3 linked regions of the Stegostoma tigrinum genome follow. The protein of the gene in region 2 interacts with the protein of the main gene of each other region in a pairwise test. Links are inferred from orthologs where the notes say so. Each region holds a gene or a part of one and is shown on either strand. Other genes may lie near its edges.

Region 1 (7,372 bases), on a different chromosome or scaffold from region 2:
CAACTCTGAGCTGGCTCGTCACAGCCAGTGTATTGTGCACATGTAAATAAAAGGTGACTTGGTGACAGCATAGCAGTCTCTGCATAGTTATTTCAATAAAATCTGATTCGAATCTTAATTCTAAAGGGTTAAATAGATTATTGATTACCAAGGAACATCAGGATATATAGGAATGTAGAGCTGAGATTAAAATCAGATTAGCCACCAACTTATTGAATTGTATATCAGGCTCAAAGGGCCGAGTGGCCGACTCTTGATCCTTATATTTGCATATTTATAAGATGATATAATGTTTGTGAAAGGCCAACTTACACATGTAAATTTGTCACAGCTAGTGAGGCGGTATCGCTTTCCATATGCCACCACCTCCATGGCGACATTGAGGTCCTTCCAATGCCAGCAATCTCCTTGGTCATTCTTGGGGAGTCGCTGTCTGTTGATCAGTTTGCCCTGAGTTAGTCCAGAGTTATCCACTTCTGGCTCATGAATGGAAATACTGTCATCCTCCAGGTAATAGTACAGGATGATCGGTCGAACCCGATAATATTCATATGGGGATTCGTGAACTGTTTCCTTGAAATATCCGTCAAATTTCAACACCTGGTTAAAAATTGAGAGAACACTTTCACTGAAAGAATACAATGTGGGTGATGGGAGGCAGGACATGTGATTGAGGGAGAAGGCATGGTCCGTGAGAGGGGGGGCAATAGAAAATATGTTCAGCGGGCGAATGTTGAACAAATTACAAAAACATTACCTTCTTATCAAAAGCCACGTGCCCAGGAACGAAATCTGCTGGTGGGGCCTGTTTGGCCTGGCCATAGGTTAATGTTGGTTTTTTATTAGCCAATTCATCCACATCAGACAGAGACAGCTGATTGACATGGATTGGTTCCCCACCAATCCCAACCTTGGGCACAACAGGGACAGCAATGCCGTTCTTGTAGAAGAAAGTCTGTGATCGATGGAAGTTAGACTTCTAAAGACAATTAGAATGATAGAATTATCAAAACAGGAACAAGTAATTCATTCCTTTTTAAAGATAATCCCTAACTCGCCATCTTCTCCATGCCTCATTTGCATTCTTTCCTCAAAAACCCAATGAGATATAGGAGCAGGATTAATCCATTCGGCCCATTCCTTCATCGATGCTCTTCACCCTCACCGTCTGCTTCTCTCTCCCTCCAATAACCCCGTCTCTTTCTCTCTCTCCCTGATACTCTATCTCTCCATTACCCATCTCCCTCCTCCAATGACCCCCCCCCCCCCCCCGATGTCCCTCTCACCGTGGGGTCCCGGAAAGTATTGCCTGGGAGGAGTGGGAGCCCCCGCACAGGATAGCAGGACATTGCCTCTGCCCTGGCTGGCAATTCTCCCTCTCCTTCAACACAATCTATCTCTGTCTCACACTCTATCTCTCTGTCTCTCTTCTTTTTTCTCTCTCGCACACACACACACACACCCCTTTCTCTCCTACTTTCTCTCACTCACTCTGTCACATACACACTCTGTATCTCTCTTGTGCACACACCCTGTCTCTCTCTCTCTCTCTCACACACACACTCTCTCTCCTGTCTGTGGGTCTCTCTGTCTCTCTCTCTCACACACACACACACACACACACACACAGTCTCCCTGTCTCTGCGTCTCTCTCTCTCACACTCTCACTCTGTGTGTCTCTCTCTCTCACACACACACTCTGTCCCTCTGTCTGTGTCTCTCTGTCTCTCTCACACACACTCACACACACTGTCTCTCTCTCTCTCTGTGTCCCTCTATCCCTCTCTCATGCACACAAAACTGTCTTTCTGTATGTGTGTGTCTGCGTATGTGTGTGTCTCTCTCTCACACACACACTCCGTCTCTCTCTCTCTCACACACACACACACACACACACACACACACACACACACTCCGTCCCTCTCTCTGTATCTCTCTCTCGCACACACAGACAACACACACTGTGTCTCTCCCTCTCTCGCACACACACTCTGTCTCCCTCTCTCTGTGTCTCTCTGCCTCTTGCACACACTCTGTGTGTCTCTCTCTATCTGTCTCTCTCTCACACACACACACACACACACACTCTGTCTCTCTCTCTCTCTCACACACACACTCTATCTCTCTCTCACACACACACACTCTGTCTCTCTCTCACACACATACTCTGTCTCTCTCTCTGTGTCTCTCTCTCTCTCTGTGTCTCTGTCTCTCGCACACTCTCTGTGTGTGTCTCTCTCTCTCTCATACACACTCTGTCTCTCTCTCTCTCTGTCTCTCTCACACACACACTCTGTCTCTCTCCCACACACAGTGTCTCTCTCTCTCTGCCTCTGTCACCCACACACACTCTGTGTGTCTCTCTCTCACCCACACACACTGTCTCTCTCTGTGTCTCTCTCTCTCTCTCACCCACACACACTCTGTCTCTCTCTGTGTCTCTCTCTCACCCACACACACTGTCTCTTTCTGTGTCTGTCACCCACACACACTCTGTCTCTCTCTCTCACCCACACACACTCTGTCTCTGTCTGTGTTTCTCTGTCACCCACACACACTCTGTGTGTCTCTCTCTCACCCACACACACTCTGTCTCTCTCTCTCTCACCCACACACACTCTGGCTCTCTCTGTCACCCACACACACTCTGTCTCTCTGTGTCTCTCTGTCACCCACACACACTCTGTCTCTCTCTCTCTCACCCACACACACTCTGTCTCTCTGTGTCTCTCTGTCACCCACACACACTCTGTCTCTCTGTGTCTCTCTCTCACCCACTCACACTGTCTCTCTGTCTCTCACCCACACACACTCTCTCTCTCTGTCTCTCACCCACACACACTCTGTCTCTCTCTCTGTCTCTCACCCACACACACTCTGTCTCTCTCTCTCTCACCCACACACACTCGGTCTCTCTCTGTCACCCACACACACTCTGTCTCTCTCTCTCTCACCCACACACACACACTCTGTCTCTCTCGGTGATAACCGGTTTTTTCTTCTCGGTTTAGCTCCGAATCTGTTTCTATGGAAACAGTAAACAAGCCAGGCTCACTCGGCAACACGTCAATCCGAGGGCGGATTGGCTGAGAATCGGAGTCGCTTTTCTCCTTGTTTTTAACCACATTCCCATCTCCCAAATATTCCCAATCCTCAATCATTTCCTATTCCCAACAAACCCCATCTCCCAAATGTGCCCAATCCTCACTCATTCCCAATTCCCAACAATCCCCATTTCCCAAATATTCCCAATCCTCAATCATTCCCAATTCCCATCTCCCAAATAATCGAAATTCTCAATCATTTCCAATTCCCAACAATCCTCATTTCCTAAATATTCCCAATCCTCAATCATTTCCAATTTTCATTTCCCAAATATTCCTCATCCTCAATCATTCCCAATTCCAAACAATTCCCAGTTCCCAAATAGTGCCAATTCCAATTTCCCAATAGCAACTCCCAACTTCTATTTCCAATTCCAATCAGTCCTAGTCCCCAAGTATTCCATTTCCCAAATGTACCAAGTATTGATAATTCCCAAATGTTTCCAATTTCCAATCTCCAATCATTCTCAATTCCCATACACTCCTGTTCCCTAAATATCCCAAATTCCCCCAAAGTTCCTAATTCCTAAATATTCCCATTTATCAATGTATCCAATTCCCATTAATCAAAGTATTCTTGACCCCAAAATATTCCCAATCCCCAAATGTTCCCAATTATTCCTGATACCCAAATATTCTTGATCCCAATAATTCCTGATTCCCTTTTCTAAAATATTCCCAATTCCTAATTATTCCTGATCACTAAGAATTCCCAAATACCTAAGACTGTATTTTTGATCCAGAAAAGTGCTCAGTCAGCCTCAGATTATGTTGGAAGGGTATGGTATTAATTTTGAGCATCAGATGGCATTAGCCATTTATTTCTGCTCCTAAGCAGAAACAACAAGGGAACTGTTCACCACTAACACAATGTTGCTGATGAGCCAAAATGTTGTTCTGCATTCCATGCAATTGAGTAATTGGGCATATGAGATCCAGTGCTGTTGTGATTGGCAGATATGTAGGCTGTTAAATCCAAACAAGTGAAGGATTATATCAAACAGCTTGTCCCCTTGTCCGTCTGCAACAGGTAAACTGCTGACTGTACTCCACCAGACTGTGCATGCAAAACTCAGAACATATTTTCCAACATTAAATGGGATTCCACAAATGGATAACAATTGCTAAGAGACATAGATAAGCTGCAGAGCTGGGCTGAGAGGTGGCAAATGGAGTTTAATGCAGACAAATGTGAGGTGATGCACTTTGGTAGGAGTAACCAGAAGGCAAAGTACTGGGCTAATGGTAAGATTCTTGGTAGTGTAGATGAGCAGAGAGATCTCGGTGTCCACGTACACAGATCCTTGAAAGTTGCCACCCAGGTTGACAGGGCTGTTGAGAAGGCATACAGTGTTTTAGCTTTTATTAATAGAGGGATCGAGTTCCAGAGCCAAGAGGTTATGGTGAAGCTGTACAAAACTCTGGTGCGGCCGCACTTGGAGTATTGCGTACAGTTCTGGTCACCGCATTATAAAAAGGATGTGGAAGCAGGATGACATTAGTGGGTAGATGGGGGTGGGGCTTGAGGTGGCAGGAATGGTTAGAGAGGAGGGGACGAGCTAGGCTGGTTTTGGGATGCGGTGGGGGAAGGGGAGATTTTGAAGCTGGTGAAATCCACATTGATACCATTGGGCTGCAGGGTTCCCAAGCGGAATATGAGTTGCTGTTCCTGCAACCTTCGGGTGCAATCGTTGTGACACTGCAGGAGGCTGAGGATGGACATGTCACCTAAAGAATGGGAGGGGGAGTTAAAATGGTTCGCGACTGGGAGGTGCAGTTGTTTATTGCAAACCGAGCGGAGGTGTTCTGCAAAGCGGTCCCCAAGCCTCCGGTTGGTTTCCCCAATGTAGAGGAACGAGCCCAGTTCGTCCCCGCCTCCCTAACCTGTTCTTCCTCTCACCTATCCCCTTCTCCCACCTCAAGCCGCACCTCCATTTCCTACCTACTAACCTCATCCCGCCTCTTTGACCTGTCCGTCCTCCCCGGACTGACCTATCCCCTCCCCACCTATACTGTCCTCTCCACCTATCTTCTCCTCTATCCATCTTTGGTCTGCCTCCCCCTCTCTCTCTATTTATTTCTCTCCCCTTCCCCTTTTTAATGAAGAGTCTCAGCCCAAAACGTCAGCTTTTGTGCTCCTGAGATGCTGCTTGGCCTGCTGTGTTCATCCAGCTCCACACTTTGTTATCTTCCATCCATTGGCTCTAATTTACCAACTCTATAGGTCAGATGCTCAAAAAATTCTGGTAGATTTGTTAAACATGATTTCTCTTTCATAAATCCATGCTGACTCTATCTGATCATGTCACCATTTTCTAAGCATTCAGCTACTAAATCTTTTATAATGAACTCTAGCATTTTCCTTACTACCATCAGAGCAACCTCTATCACTCCTCCTTTTCCCTCTGCCTATGCTTTTAAATAGTGGCGTTACATTAGAAACCCTTCAATCCATAGGTAATGTTCCAGAGTCTATAGAACCTCGAAAGATGACCACAAATGCATCCTTGGACCATATCCTTAAACATTGTGGTATATTGATTATGGAGCCTTGGGGATTTATTGGCATTTAATCCTATCAATTTTCCCAAAACCATTTCTCTATTAATACTTATTTCCTTCACTTCCTCCTTACCATTGAAGCCCAGGTTTCCCAACACTTTTGCAGTGATATTGGAATCCTTTTTTTGTGAAGACAGAACCAAAATATTTATTTAATTGGCCTGTCATCTCTTTGTTTCCCGTTTTAACATCCCCTGTTTCTGAGTGTAAGGGATCTTCATTTGGCTTCACTAATTTTTTTGTACGTATCCCTCATACTTGGTGTCACACTCAATATTCCACTTCTTAATGAATCCCTTTGTCCTCATTGCTGAAATTTAAACTGCTCCCAATTTTCAAGACTGTTGCTTTTTTTTGTATTTGTATGCCCCTTCCTTAGATTTAATGATATCCCTCACTTCCCCTTGTTATCCACTGTTTCCATATGTTTTGTGGGCAGGAATGAGCAATTGTTGCAGTTTCTCCTTGCGCATTTTAAATTTTTGCCATTGCATATCCACTGTCATCTCTTCAAGTAACACTCCCCAATTTATCATAGATGCCTCAAACGTCATACCATTGTAGTTTCCTTTACTTAGATTCAGGGCCTAGTCTCAGAATCAACTGTGTCACTCTACATCCTAATGAAGAATACTATCATATTTTGATCACTCTTCCTCAAGGGCCTTGCACACTTAGATTGCCAATTATGCTTTTCTCAATACACAAGACCTGGCCTAGGATGGCCTGTTCTTTAGATAATAAAATGTGAGGCTGGATGAACACAGCAGGCCAAGCAGCATCTCAGGAGCACCTGAGATGCTGCTTGGCCTGCTGTGTTCATCCAGCCTCACATTTTATTATCTTGGAATTCTCCAGCATCTGCAGTTCCCATTATCTCTGGCCTGTTCTTTAGTTGGTTCTTCAATGCATTGGTCCAGAAAACCATCTCATTCATACTGCAGGAATTCCTCCTTTGTAATATTGTTTCCGATTTGATTCACCTACTCTATATATACATTAAAATTGCCCCTAATTACAGCTATAACTTAATTGCTTGTAAGTCCAATTTCTTGATTGACGCCTTCCTCAACGTTACTACTATTGTTTGGGAGTGGGGCTAAATACAACCTCCATTATTGTTTTTGAGTCTTGCTTTTAATTTCCCTCTTATTGTATGATAAGGTGTTCATTAGAATGACCTTTCAAAGCCACATCTCCTTCCTCAGTGTCCTGTCTACAGCTCCAATTTACCCCATGTGGTTATGGATTTCCAACTGAAGTTCATCTTTCATGGTTTGAATCAGATCAGAAGACACATGATACCAGACTATAGTCTAATAGGTTTATTTTAAATCACAAGCTTTTCATATTTCTGCTCCTTCATCAGGTGAAGTGGAGAGATAATTGCAAGATAATTCCAGGGAATTAAGAATGTCAAAAGGGTGTGAATGGAGCATTGACAGGCTGAATATCACATCTTGTCATTAGAATTAATCTTTCCAGCCACATCTCCGTCCTCAGTGTCTGTATCCAGCTCCAATTTACCCCATATGGATATGTATTCCATTCAGCCTGTTAACACTCCACTCACACCATTTGTACCATCTTTTGACATTCATAGTTACCTAGAATTACCTTGTAATTATGAAAGCTTGTGATTTTAATAAACTAGATCAGTTCTGAGGAAGGGTCACCGGAGCTGAAACGTTAACTGTTTTCTCCTC
Region 2 (7,220 bases):
CAAAGGGCGGGGGGAGGCAGCCAGGACACTGGAACGGAGTTTCCCGGTGAACAGACAATGCTGGGATTTTAATGTCAGCCACCAGGACAATTTAATCGCGGTCTCTCTAACCTGGCAGCAAAAAGTTGCGTCCGAGCAGCTGGGAGAGCAACACCTTCACCCCCACGGCGTAGGTCCACAGAAACGCGGAGAGGGGCGACATTACAGCAACCGAGCGAGAGCAGTCGAGGAGGGTACAGCACGAGAACCGTCCCCCAGCGTGGAACACACTGAGCCGCACAGACGTTCCGCCGCACTAACAGTCCCACCTCCAATTCCTCCTACAACACAGCTCAAACCAACGCATTATAACAATCTTATAACAAAGTGTGGAGCTGGATGAACGCAAATCCCCTCCCCCCCACTGCATCCCAAAACCAGTCTCTGTGATAATGGGAACTGCAGATGCTGGAGAATCCAAGATAGCAAAGTGTGAAGCTGGATGAACACAGCAGGCCAAGCAGCATCTCAGGAGCACAAAAGCTGACGTTTCGGGCCTAGACCCTTCATCAGCCTGTCTCTGCCTCCCTAACCTGTTCTTCCTCTCACCCATCCCTTCCTCCCACCCCAAGCTGCACCTCCTTGACCTGTCCATCTTCCCTGGACTGACCTATCCCCTCCCTACCTCCCCACCTATACTCTCCTCTCCACCTATCTTCTTTTCTCTCCATCTTCAGTCCACCTCCCCCTCTCTCCCTATTTATTCCAGTTCCCTCCCCCCATCCCCCTCTCTGATGAAGGGTCTAGGCCCGAAACATCAGCTTTTGTGCTCCTGAGATGCTGCTTGGCCTGCTGTGTTCATCCAGCTTCACACTTTGTTATCTTGGATTCTCCAGCATCTGCAGTTCCCATTAGCACTCACACTCAAACCAACACATACCGAGCAGTGGCTGCACTCACCCAGGCATTGTATGTATGTGTGTGTACATTTATTTACAAATTACATATATCAATGGAAAGCATTGTGGATGCTGGAGATCTGAAATAAAAACAGACATTTCTGGACAAACTCAGCAGGTCTGGCAGCATCTGTGGAGAGGAAAGCAGAGGTAACTGAATTAGATGTGACTGAAAAATTTGCATTGGCCTTCCACAATCACATGATCCTGAGGCCCCAAAGCACTTTACAGCCAATGAAGCACTTTTGAAGTTTGAACGCTATTATAGGGAGCTAGAGGTCTTTTGGTGCAGTGTTAGTGTCCCTGAATCTGAGTCAGACTCTCTGCGTTCAAGTCTCACCAAAAGAAGGTTCATTCTCAGTGCCTTCAAAGTAGCTTGTGTATCAAGCTGCAGACCCTCCCGACATATGCCATCTATAGGCAGTAAAACTGGAAGACTGTTAGTCAGCTGTAAGATAGGAAGACAAAGTGGAGCCTCTGCTGGCTCTGCACTGCAGCATAAAAGTCAAAGTGCATCTGCTACAGCAACTCAGACTCCTTGAGGAGACAGGTTGCCTGATCAAGAGCCAGTGCAGATCACATTAATGGCTAACAGCCCAAGTTTGGATCTGTCTCAGATACATTTGGGACCTGAACAGTTTGCAGTTCTGCGGGTTGGACCAGTCTTTGAGTTTGCAAAATGTAGGGTACATCGCAGTCAATCAAGGCACAAGCTCACACAAAAACATGCTAGTTTACATTGGCTAATTCGCCTATCTTTGCAATGCTAGTTTAAAATATTGTGAGGACTCTGGGAAGAACATCTCTGCTATAATTTGAAATGGTGCTGAGGATTCTTTTACATCCACCAGATGACATCGGCTGGATCTTAGTTAAGTCTCATCTGAAAGAGATATATATTTATGTGGAGGAGAGGTTTCATTTAGCGAGGAATGAAATTAAAATACAGAGCGCTGTGTATTGTCATATCCCTATATCATGAAAAGGAAATAGAGGTGTTGGAACAGATGTTAAATAAATATATATATTTATAAAGGTGAAAGCAGAAATGAGAAGTTATAACTATCATAGAAATTCTAAGCAGGCTGTGGCTCTACTTAAGAGAAAAAAGACTTCATCAAATGTTGATTATTTCACCTACACACACACACAGATCTTCAACTGGTTTTTGCACTGGAACTTGGTGCAATTAAAAACCTGAGAGACAACGACAAATTCTAAATGGGAATCAAGACTTGTGGGAAATGCAAGCAACATCACATTTGTCTCAACTAAATCAAATTGAAGAATCTTTACTGTGGGTCTGATTTTAACTCACTCAGAACCTACTCACAGAGTCTGATCATTAACATAAATTAGGATAATTAACTCAACACGATATCACATTCAAAAAGCAAAATAGAGAGAGAAAGAAAGATGAGATGAATAGAGAGAGGCAAAACAGAAGGGAAAAGTGAAAAAAAACTTTTTTATGTTATGATGTTCAATGGACAAGTCCAAACTTTTGATGATATGGTATTTATCACATTAAGGTCAACTATTTAGTGCCTTCCAAGCATTACAGTGACAAGCTTTGAGGCATGATATTAGCATAGCAAAGCTTTTGGAAGAGCTGATCAATTAGGATTTATATATGTGTGGTATTAAAAAGATTTTCAACATGTAACTTGTCAGAGCACAAATTCATGGATTTTATATTACTTTAATAGTGAATCCTTGTTCAGTCTATTAGTACATAATATGTACATCCACCCATATTTTGCAGCAAAAAAATAGTGAAGCAACAAGTGCTCGCTATTATTAAAGTGTAAAATTGGACAATGATTTCTGATGCCTATACCAAAGTAGTTGAAAGCAAAATTTAGGATGTTGCTCTGATCCTCCAAAATCTATAATGACACCAGTATCCCACCAGAATTCCCATTATTGATGCACTTAAATTGACAGGAACCTGTTGTACTTACAGATATCCGCTAAACAGGGGATTGGGACTGACTGGATTGTCCCCGTAAAGAACCGGCATGGACCAATAGGCCAAATTACCTCCTTCTGCATCATTGTGACTCTATGAGTAAACATAAGGGAAACAGTTAGGAATTATCCAATTCAAAAGTACATTTTAAAGGTATGATAAATCTTAACCATTCTGGCCTTGTAAACAAACTTTTAACAGTGTAGAATTGCATTCCTTCAGTTTATAATTATTTGCGATGAACAGAAGTACTAGGACTAGGAGTAAGCAATTCAGCTCTTTAAGCCTGCTCCACTGTTTAATACAACCATAGCTGATCTCATTTCAGCCTGAATTGCAATTTCCTGCCTGGTCCCATAACTCTTCAACTCATTACTAATTAATAATCAGTCTATCTCCTCTCTAAACTTACTCATTGTCCCGGTATTGACCGCAGCCTACAGCAGCGAATACCACAGATTCAAGACCTTTTGAGAGAACTAATTTCTCCTACTGTTTTAAATCTAGTAGCCCTTCTCCTAAAATAATGACTTGTCATTCTAGATTGCCACAAATGAAGAAACACCTTTTCTACATCTGCTTTGTCAACCCGCTTTTTGATCGTTTTTACCTCAATTAGATCTCATCTCATTTTCATAAATGCCAAGAAATATGGGCATAAATTGCTCAATTTTTCTTCATAACGTAAACCCCTCATCTCCAGAATCAATCTAGTAGGCCTGCTCTAAACTACCTCCAATGCAACTACATCCCTCTTCAAGTAAGGGGTTGAAGATTACCAGCTGCAGTCTGACTAATGTCTTGTACAGTTACAACAACACCTCCTTACTCTTACACTCTACATCTTTAGCAATTAATGCCAAAATTCTTTTGCCTTTCTTATTACCTGCTGTACCAGTAAAATAGTTTTCTGTGTGAGCCATGCCCAAGGACACCCAGATCGCTTTGAAGCACTGAAGCACTATGAAGTTTCTCTACCTTTAGATAATACAAAGGCTTTAAATATCATGTCATTCTCTTACTCACAGCAATTTTTCCCTCAAGATCCTGAAAGTTTTGATTATATTCCAGCCCTACACTTCTCTTTGTGAGGCAACATCCACTCCACATCGACCTTGTCAAAATCCCTCAGGATCTCATCTGTTTCAATCATGTTGTCTATTGGTCTTCTGTCTGTGCACCATTCCCATAAGTGTTTTCTTGCCTTTATTATTTCTCATCTCCATTCAAACTATTTCCACATCCTGAACTTAGGCTCTCGACTCTATTGTGTTCCTGCTATCAATATCTAACAGAGCCAACCTTCCATTTTTTCCTAGCTACCTGTCCTTCCTGTATGTCTTATATCCTTCAAGATCCCCGTCTCTGTCATCCGATGACAAAACATTCGCTAAACCTTTTCACTTTGCACTCATCATGACAATTCACAAGAATTATCAATGTAAAGGGTAGACAACATTCATACTGTACAAGAGAGGGAGAGTTAGACACTGGTCAATGGTGGACACTGTGTTGTGAGAATATTACTGAATCTATACAACTAATGTATCCCTTTGGAAATCTTTCAGTTATAGATAATTCTTTTCTGCATAGGTTTGTATGTAACATTTATTGCGTAGATTTTTTTTCACTGTGCGGAAGCTACCAGTGTAGAACATTTCTACTACATTTTACTGTATACAATAGTATTGCATAAATTGTGTGACCTTCTGTCAAGGTTGACATTCAAGTTTCCCTACACTGAATGGGTAAATATTTCACCGTGTAGTTTTATATGGTTGTTCAGTGTAAAACCCATTCTACAGAGGATCCTCATAGCCATCAAATAACATTTATCTTATCAATCTAAGCTGATTTGAAACTACATTTTCAAGGTAAGGCCAGTATATAAACCATTACACAGCCCAGAAATGTTTGGAAGGATATGGGCCAGGAGCAGGCAGGCAGGCAGGACCAGTTTAATTTGGAATTATGCTCAGCATGGACTGAAGGGCCTGTTTCTGTGCTGTATGACTCTATGACTCCATTCCAAAAATGTGCCCGAGGTTTTTCACCAATTAGATGCTGGTGTTAGATCAAACAAGGAAATAATTTTTGTAAGTATCTGTTGGATCCACACAACTTCTGATTATATCCTTCCATCCCTTTTCTTCCCAAATATGTATCTGAGCAACTTATGAGCTCATTTGTATAAACCTCAGTGGTTTTCCCCGGTGATCTATCCCCTTTGGAAGAAAATGTTCTATTTGACTCATTTGTTTATTCTGAACTTCTAAACTTCATTTGGTATCCCCTGGTTTTTGTCAATTTCCTAATTCTCTTCAAAATTCCTTCAATTCCAAAGAAGAATTAAAACTTCGACGCCAACTGCCAAAACCATTACCCGGTATATCATTGATAATGGGAACTGCAGATGCTGGAGAATCCAAGATACCTGCTGTGTTCATCCAGCTTCACACTTTGTTAACCCGGTATATCATTCATGTCTTCATTACCCATCTTCCATATTTAACAACAGTTCAGAATAAAAACCGAAAGAACTACAGATGCTGTAAATCAGGAATAAAAACAAAGTTACTGGAAAGGCTGAGCAGGTCTGGCAGCATCGGTGAAGGAAAAAACAGAGTTAACGTTTCGGGTCTGGTGACCTCAGAACAGTCCTGAGGAAGGGTCACCAGATCCAACATGTTAACTCCGTTTTTCCCTTCACAGATGCTGCCAAACCTGCTGAGCTTTTCCAGCAACTTTGTTTTTGTTCCTGAAACAACAATTCAGGCTGAGCCACAGGGCAGGTTGAGCAAGTGCATGGAACTTTTGGGACCAAGGTGTCTAAATAGCAAAGAGCACAACCGTACAGTAACAAAATTAATCTTAAGCAAAAGTTGCTGGTTCAGCTTCCATTGCCGTTTTCGATGAAATTCTGATCACACTTCAACAGGGATGTGAAGACTTTGGAGAGGGAACTGAAAAAAATTTACAAGATTGGTCCCTTAGATGAGGGTCTTCAGTTACTTGCATTGACTGGAGAAGCTTGTGTTGTTCATCTTACAGAAGTTTGAGAGCAGACTTGATCATGTTGGAGCATGCCAAAAGCAGTGCCAGGCAGACCTAAAACTGAGGTGTTAACCCGATGAAGGTACAACACAGGACTACTTGTATGACAAACCACAAAATTAGATGCATTGGACAGAGATCCCACATCTAGCAAATCAGATGAAAGTTCTGCAATCCTGGGACAACCAATCCTGAACAGTGTTGGACAATTAAATAGCCAACAGGAAAATGACACTTCAAGGTGATAGAGCAATCTGAGAGTGGTCCCTTGCCTCTGTTCTCAACTGATAAGGCTGCAGACAAAGCTAATGTTTGAGTTACAAGAGTTTATCTCAACCATCTTATGGATACCCCAAGAGCTACCTCTTACAGCTGTCAGATAAGCCCATTAACTTCCATTCAATCAGTTCTGCCTGAAACGAGCTACTTAAATATAATGTTATGAAGAACAAGTCAAGGAGGAGGAGACGAGCTGGGCTGGTTTTGGGATGAAGTAGGGGGCGGGGACGAGCTGGGCTGGTTTTGGGATGCAGTGGGCGAAGGGGAGATTTTGAAGCTTGTGAAGTCAACATTGATACCATGGGGCTGCAGAGTTCCCAAGCAGAATATGAGTTGCTTATCCTGCAACCTTCGGGTGGCATCATTGTGGCACTGCAGGAGTCCCATGATGGACATGTCATCTAAAGAATGGGAGGGGGAGTGGAAATGGTTTGCGACTGGGAGGTGCAGTTGTTTATTGTGAACCGAGCGGAGGTGTTCTGCAAAGCGGTCCCGAAGCCTCCGCTTGGTTTCCCCAATGTAGAGGGAGCCACACCGGGTACAGTGGATGCAGTATAGCAAATTGGCAGATGTGCAGGTGAACATCTGCTTGATATGGAAAGTCACCTTGGGGCCTGGGATGGGGGTGAGGGAGGAGGTGTGGGGGCAAGTGTAGCACTTCCTGCGGTTGCAGGGGAAGGTGCTGCGTGTGGTGGGGCTGGAGGGGAGTGTGGAGCGGACAAAGGAGTCACGGAGAGAGTGGTCTCTCCGGAAAGCAGACAGGGGTGGGGATGGAAAAATGTCTTGGGTGGTGGGGTCGGATTGTAGATGGCGGAAGTGTCGGAGGATGATGCGTTGTATCCGGAGGTTGGTGGGATGGTATGTGAGGACTAGGGGGATTTTCTTTGGGCGGTTATTGCAGGGGCGGAGTGTGAGGGATGTGTTGCGTGAAATGCGGGAGACATAGTCGAGGGAGTTCTCGACCCCTGGAGGAGGGA
Region 3 (7,019 bases), on a different chromosome or scaffold from region 2:
CTCACAACAATCATTCTAGGCTATCACCTTCCCTTCAAATCTGGTCATGGGCCAATTAAATATTTTTAAAGGTAGACAACAGGAGGCAAGAAGAACACAGCAAGCCAGGCAGTATCTGGAGGAAAGGAGAAGTCATCATTTTAGGTATTACCCTTCTTCAGGACTGGATGTGGGGGTAGGAGGAGCTGCAGATAAAGTGGCAGGAGTTGGGGGAGGGGTGTCGTGGAATGGTGGTGATAGGTGGACACTGGTAGTCCATAGGACCTGGTTGGTCAATGAGAGGGATGAATCCAGTTGTTGGCTGGAAGGAAGGGTCAGAAGGTGGAATGGAAGGGAGGAGGTCAGGCTGGAAAGGGAGCTGGCGAATGGATGAGAAGGTTATTTGAAATTGGAGGCCAATGTTGAGTCTTCCAGTCGATAGGGTGCCCAAGCAGAAGGTGAGATGTTGTTCTTCAAATTTGTGTTCTGAGTCGCTGCAACACTGGAGGAGGTCAAGGATGGACATGTCAGAGACGGAGTGGGTGGGGGGTTGAAATGGACAGTGACCAGGAGATAAGGTTGGCTGTTACAGGCCAGATAAAGATGCTCGGCGAAGCAATCACCTAGTATACATTTGGTCTCACCGACGCAGTGAAGACACATCGGGAACACCAGATGCAATAGGCTAGGTTGGAGGAGATGCAAGTGAAGTTCTGTCTCACTTGAAAGGACTGTTTAGGGCCCCAAATGGAGATGAGGGAGGTGGTGTGTGGGCAGGTGTTGCATCTTTTACAGTTACAGAGGAAGGTACCAGATGGTTGGAGTGGTTGGTAGGGAGTGTGGTGCAAATTAAGGAGTGGCAAAGGGAATGGTCCTTGTGGAAGGCAGAGAAGGATGGGGGGTGGAAGATGTTCTGAGTGGTGGGGTCGAATTGGAATTGGCAAAAGCGTTTGAGAATGATACATTAGATGCAGAGGCTAATGGGGTAGAAAATGATGACAAGGGGGACCCTACCTTTCTTATGTTTGGAGGTAGGGGTGGTTAAGAGCTGTGTAGTGGAAATAGAACATAGGAACATTACAGCACAGTACAGGCCCTTCGGCCCTCGCTGTTGTGCCGACCTGTCATATCGATCTCAAGCCCATCTAACCTACACTATTGCATGTACGTCCATATGCTTATCCAATGACGACTTAAATGTACCTAAAGTTGGTGAATCTACTACCGTTGCAGGCAAAGCATTCCATTCCCTTACCACTCTCTGAGTAAAGAAACTACTACCTCTGACATCTGTCCTATATCTTTCACCCCTCAATTTAAAGCTATGCCCCCTCGTGCTCGCCGTCACCATCCTAGGAAAAAGGCTCTCCCTATCCACCCTATCTAACCCTCTGATTATTTTATATGTTTCAATTAAGTCACCTCTCAACCTTCTTCTCTCTAATGAAAACAGCCTCAAGTCCCTCAGCCTTTCCTTGTAAGACCTTCCCTCCATACCAGGCAACATCCTAGTAAATCTCCTCTGCATCCTTTCCAAAGCTTAAACATCCTTCTTATAATGCGGTGACCAGAACTGTACACAATACTCCACATGCGGCCGCACCAGAGTTTTGTACAGCTTCACCATAACTTCTTGGTTCCGGAACTCGATCCCTCTATTAATAAAAGCTAAAATGGAGCAGGTGCGGTGGAGGGCTCTCTGGATGACAGGGGAGCAAAAAGAGCATTATTTGAAAGAGGCAGACATCCAGGATGCTTGGGAGTGGAATGTCTCCAGACTGTTGAGCTGCAGGAAGTGCAGCTACCAATTCGTGCACAGCAAGCTTCCACAAACAACAATGTATTACTAACCAGCCTATCAGTTTCTATGATGTTGTTTCATGGATTAAAGTATCTTTCCATTCTCAAATATTGCCATGGAATCTCTTGCATCTACCCAACAAAAGTACAAGAAACCTACATCAAACATCTTATCTGAAAGAAGGCACCTCCAACAATGGAGAATTCGCTCATTACTGATCCTCTGACAATGCGGCACTTCCTCTGTACTAAACATCCGATGGTGCATCACTCCCTCGGTACTAACAATCCGAGAGTGCAGTACTTTCTCAATATTGACCCTTCAACAGTGCACGACTCCCTCAGTACTGACCCCCTGACTATGTGGCACTTGCTCAGTACTGACCCTTCAACAGTGTAGTACTGCCTCAGTACGGACTCTGCAACAATGCAGTACTTTCTCAGTACTGACCCTCTGGCATTGCAATGGTCCCTCAGCACAAAAATCACCAACTGTTACTGCGAACTGAACTGCTGTGAGTGTGTACAAGGGAGGCAGGGTGCACAATGGGGGTAGAATTAGCTAGTGTTTGTACAGTGAGTAAGTGTGTTTCCAGTGGGCAAGGGTGTTCAATGGTTGAGTGCACAGCGAGGGTGAACAATGGGTATGTATTTGGTAAGTGTGCAGTGAGGGTTTACAGGTAGGAGGGTATGCAGTGATTGAGGGTGTAGTGTGAGGTTGCGTACAGTGAGGGTATGCAGTGAGAGGTTGAGTACAGTGAGGGTAATCAGTAAATGAGAGTGCGTACAGTGAGTATGTATAGCCTTCTCTGTCGGTCTCTACTTTTCTGTCCGTCTCCTGCGGAAACAATGTTTCTCTCTCGCGGACTTGGACACTTTGTATCCCGGGCCCTGGCACTTACCTGAAGCCGGGGTCACCGTCAGCCTGGAGCCCCAAGAGGGAAAGGGAGAACGCGAGGCCCAGGCCAGGGACAATGGCCTTCAGGAACTGAGCTCCGAGAGAGAGAGAGAAGGCGGAAAAGAGAAATTAATCTAAAGAGGGATAGAGAGTAATGGCGGAATGAGGGAGGGAAATCAGCAAATAAACAGAGAGAATGACCAGGGAGCGAGAAAGAAAAAGGAGGAAAGTGAAAGGGAAGAAGAGAGAAGAAGTCGCGGGGGGGGGGAGACGGAGACGGGGGCTGGGAGAGATGGGGAGTGAGGGGGAAAGAGACTGGAGATGAGGGAGAATCACTGAAGAGGATTGGGGGAGAGACAGGGAAGGGGACGGTGTCGTGAGGGAGAGACAGGGGAGGGGAGGGTGGGGTAGGGGAGAGACTGGGGTGGGGGAGAGACTGGGGGGAGGGGAGGGTGGGGTGGGGGAGAGACTGGGGGGGAGGGGAGGGTGGGGTGGGGGAGAGACTGGGGGGGAGGGGAGGGTGGGGTGGGGGGGGAGGGGAGGGTGGGGTGGGGGGGGAGGGGAGGGTGGGGTGGGGGGGGAGAGACTGGGGAGGGGAGAGTGGGGTGGGGGGGGAGAGACTGGGGAGGGGAGAGTGGGGTGGGGGGGGGAGAGACTGGGGAGGGGAGAGTGGGGTGGGGGGGGGAGAGACTGGGGGAGGGGAGAGTGGGGTGGGGTGGGGGAGAGACTGGGGGAGGGGAGAGGGGTGGGGTGGGGGAGAGACTGGGGGAGGGGAGGGTGGGGTTAGGGAGAGACTGGGGGGAGGGGAGGGTGGGGTTAGGGAGAGACTGGGGGGAGAGGGGAGCGTGGGGTGGGGGAGAGATGGGAGGGGAGAGTGGGGTGGGGTGGGGGAGAGTGGGGTGGGGTGGGGTGGGGGAGAGACTGGGGAGGGGAGAGTGGGGTGGGGTGGGGGAGAGTGGGGTGGGGTGGGGTGGGGGAGAGACTGGGGAGGGGAGAGTGGGGTGGGGTGGGGGAGAGTGGGGTGGGGTGGGGTGGGGGAGAGACTGGGGAGGGGAGAGTGGGGTGGGGTAGGGGAGAGTGGGGTGGGGGAGAGACTGGGGGAGGGGAGAGTGGGGTGGGGTGGGGGAGAGACTGGGGGAGGGGAGAGTGGGGTGGGGTGGGGGAGAGACTGGGGGAGGGGAGGGTGGGGTTAGGGAGAGACTGGGGGGAGGGGAGGGTGGGGTTAGGGAGAGACTGGGGGGAGGGGAGGGTGGGGTGGGGTGGGGGAGAGACTGGGGGAGGGGAGAGTGGGGTGGGGTGGGGGAGAGACTGGGGGAGGGGAGGGTGGGGTTAGGGAGAGACTGGGGGAGGGGAGGGTGGGGTTAGGGAGAGACTGGGGGGAGGGGAGGGTGGGGTTAGGGAGAGACTGGGGGGAGAGGGGAGCGTGGGGTGGGGGAGAGATGGGAGGGGAGAGTGGGGTGGGGTGGGGGAGAGTGGGGTGGGGTGGGGTGGGGGAGAGACTGGGGAGGGGAGAGTGGGGTGGGGTAGGGGAGAGTGGGGTGGGGGAGAGACTGGGGGAGGGGAGAGTGGGGTGGGGTGGGGGAGAGACTGGGGGAGGGGAGAGTGGGGTGGGGTGGGGGAGAGACTGGGGGAGGGGAGGGTGGGGTTAGGGAGAGACTGGGGGGAGGGGAGGGTGGGGTTAGGGAGAGACTGGGGGGAGGGGAGGGTGGGGTGGGGTGGGGGAGAGACTGGGGGAGGGGAGAGTGGGGTGGGGTGGGGGAGAGACTGGGGGAGGGGAGGGTGGGGTGGGGAAGAGATTGGGGGGGGAGGGGAGGGTGAGGGGGGAGAGATCGGGGGGGAGGGGAGGGTGGAGTGGGGAAGAGATCGGGGGGGAGGGGAGGGTGGGGGGGGAGAGATCGGGGGGGAGGGGAGGGTGGGGTGGGGAAGAGATCGGGGGGGGGAGGGGAGGGTGGGGTGGGGAAGAGATCGGGGGGGGAGGGGAGGGTGGGGTGGGGAAGAGATCGGGGGGGGAGGGGAGGGTGGGGTGGGGAAGAGATCGGGGGGGGAGGGGAGGGTGGGGTGGGGAAGAGATCGGGGGGGGAGGGGAGGGTGGGGTGGGGAAGAGATCGGGGGGGGAGGGGAGGGTGGGGTGGGGAAGAGATCGGGGGGGAAGGGGAGGGTGGGGGAAAGAGAGACTGCGGTGGGGTTGGTGGGGGAGAGACTGGGGGGCAGGAATGAGAGATTGGGTGAAAGAGAGACTGTGGTGGAGTGGGGAGAGAGACTGAGCAGGAAATAGAGACTGGGGGGTTAGTGGGGAGAGCGGAGTGGATGAGGGATTCCCGGAGTGAGCGGTCCCTACGAAAGGCAGATAGGAGTAGGGAGGAAAATATCTTTTTGGTTTTGGAGTCGGATTGTACATGGTGGAAGTGGCGGATGATGTGCTAGATGTGGAGGTTGATGGGGTGATATGTGAGGACAAGGGGAATTCTGTCTTTATGTTTGTTCTGTGCGGTTTGAGGTCAGTAGAGCAGGAAATGCAAGAGATGTGGCTGAGGACATTTTTAATCACCGGAGGGGAAAGTCCTTGGGATAGGAGGATATCTATTTTCGAGATAAAAACCGAAGGAACTGTGGATGCTGTAAATCAGGAATAAAAACAGAAGTTGCTGGAAAAACTCAGCAGGTCTGGCAATATCTGTGAAGGAAAAAACAGTTAATGTTTCAGGTCCGGTGACCCTTTGGTTTTTTTTATATCTTCCAGAGACTGGGGGAATATGTGAGAGAGAAATGGGAAGAAGAAGGAAAAAGACAGAGATTGGGTAGGGGGGAGAAGAAAGACAGAGACTGGAGAGGGGCAGGAAGAGAGAGGTGCAGACAGGAGGTGAGTGCATGACTGGGAAAAGGAAATTGGAGGAAGGGAGAGAAAAATTAGCTGAAGAGAAAGTGATAAATGAGGAAGAGGGAGACTGAGGGAAAGAGGGAAAAATTGTTGATAAATTTCCAGGATCAGATGAGCTTTACCCCAGATAACAAGGTGTGGAGCTAGAGGAACACGGCAGGCCAGATAGCATCAGAGGAGCAGGAAAGTTGATGTTTCGGCCTGGACCCTTTTTCAGAGAAATGTAAGCTTTCCTGCTCCTCTGATGCTGCCTGGCCTGCTGTGTTCCTCCAGCTCCACACCTTGTTATCTCAGGCTCCAGCGTCGGCAGTTCCTACTCTCTCTGAGCTTTGCCCCAGAGTGCTTAACAAAGTAGCTATATAGATAGTTTAAGAGATAGTAGGAACTGCAGATGCTGGAGAATCTGAGATAACAAGGTGTAGAGCTGGATGAACACAGCAGGCCAAGCAGCATCATAGGAGCAGGAAGGCTGACGTTTCAGGCCTAGACCCTTCTTCAGAAATGGGGAAGGGGGTTCTGAAATAAATAGGGACAGAGGGGAAGGCGGATATAAGATGGATACGAGAGAGTTGCAGTGGGAGAGAGATCCACTGAGGCTTTTCCGGAGGGAGGAGGGTAACTGCTTCAAGATAGGCATCCTTAAAAGAGGCTTCGCACTGGGGTTAAAATTGTTTAAGAGATAGTAGGAACTGCAGATGCTGGAGAATCTGAGATAACAAAGTGTGGGGCGGGATGAACACAGCATGCCAAACAGCATCAGAGGAGCAGGAAGGCTGACGTTTTGGGCCTAGACCCTTCTTCAGAAATGGGGGAGGGGAAGGGGGTTCTGAAATAAATAGTGTCCAGGTCCAAAACGTCAGCCTTCCTGCTCCTCTGATGCTGTTTGGCCCTGTTGTGTGCATCCAGTTCTACACCTTGCTATCTCAGATTCTCCAGCATCTGCAGTTCCTACTATCTCTTGAACCCCACTGCGAAACCTCTTCTAAGGATGCCTACCCTAAAGTTGTTACCGTCCTCCCTCCAGAAAAACCTCAGTGGATCTCTCTCCCGCTGCAACTCTATCGTAATCTCTTCGACCTTGAAACTGCTCGACCGGTCTGTCTCTGTTCCATGTATCTTCTCCTCTATCCATCTTCTATCTACCTCCACCCCTCCCTATTTATTTCAGAATCCCCTTCCCCTCCCCCATTTCTGAAGAAGGGTCTCGGCCCGAAATGTCAGCTTTCCTGCTCCTCTGATGTTGCTTGGCCTGCTGTGTTCATCCAGCTCTACACCTTATTATCTTAGCTGTATAGATAGTGCATGTGTTGCTGTTATTTTTCAGATTTCTTTAGACTCTGGGATTATCCTGCTGATTGGAAGGCAGCAAATGTAATCCCACTATTTAAGAAGGGAGGAAGAGGGAGAATGGAGAAGTACAGACCAGTAAGTTTGATTTCAATTGCAGGGAAAATATTAGAATTT

The links.
Region 1: the proteins of E3 SUMO-protein ligase ZBED1-like (region 2) and efhc1 interact in binary tests that used the Homo sapiens proteins (3 or more experiments, as listed by UniProt). The two-hybrid records come from large-scale screens. The link is inferred for Stegostoma tigrinum from reciprocal best matches to the Homo sapiens genes ZBED1 and EFHC1.
Region 3: the proteins of E3 SUMO-protein ligase ZBED1-like (region 2) and lrrc20 interact in binary tests that used the Homo sapiens proteins (3 or more experiments, as listed by UniProt). The two-hybrid records come from large-scale screens. The link is inferred for Stegostoma tigrinum from reciprocal best matches to the Homo sapiens genes ZBED1 and LRRC20.

The regions. Positions count from the first base shown.
Region 1 is NC_081362.1:98,695,365-98,702,736, reverse strand, and holds the start of efhc1 (EF-hand domain-containing protein 1), read right to left. Parts: upstream 3,017-7,372; 5' UTR 1,350-3,016; coding exon 1,287-1,349; intron 980-1,286; coding exon 758-979; intron 601-757; coding exon 313-600; intron 1-312. UniProt on the Homo sapiens protein: Microtubule inner protein (MIP) part of the dynein-decorated doublet microtubules (DMTs) in cilia axoneme, which is required for motile cilia beating.
Region 2 is NC_081359.1:101,414,798-101,422,017, forward strand, and holds the start of E3 SUMO-protein ligase ZBED1-like, read right to left. Parts: upstream 3,005-7,220; 5' UTR 3,004-3,004; coding exon of another isoform or gene 2,903-3,003; intron 226-2,902; exon of another isoform or gene 203-225; coding exon of another isoform or gene 112-202; intron 1-111. Other genes in the region: dhrsx (dehydrogenase/reductase SDR family member on chromosome X), read right to left, coding at 2,903-3,003.
Region 3 is NC_081390.1:940,828-947,846, reverse strand, and holds the start of lrrc20 (leucine-rich repeat-containing protein 20), read right to left. Parts: upstream 3,063-7,019; 5' UTR 2,682-3,062; intron 2,435-2,681; exon of another isoform or gene 2,424-2,434; coding exon of another isoform or gene 2,392-2,423; exon of another isoform or gene 2,367-2,391; intron 1-2,366.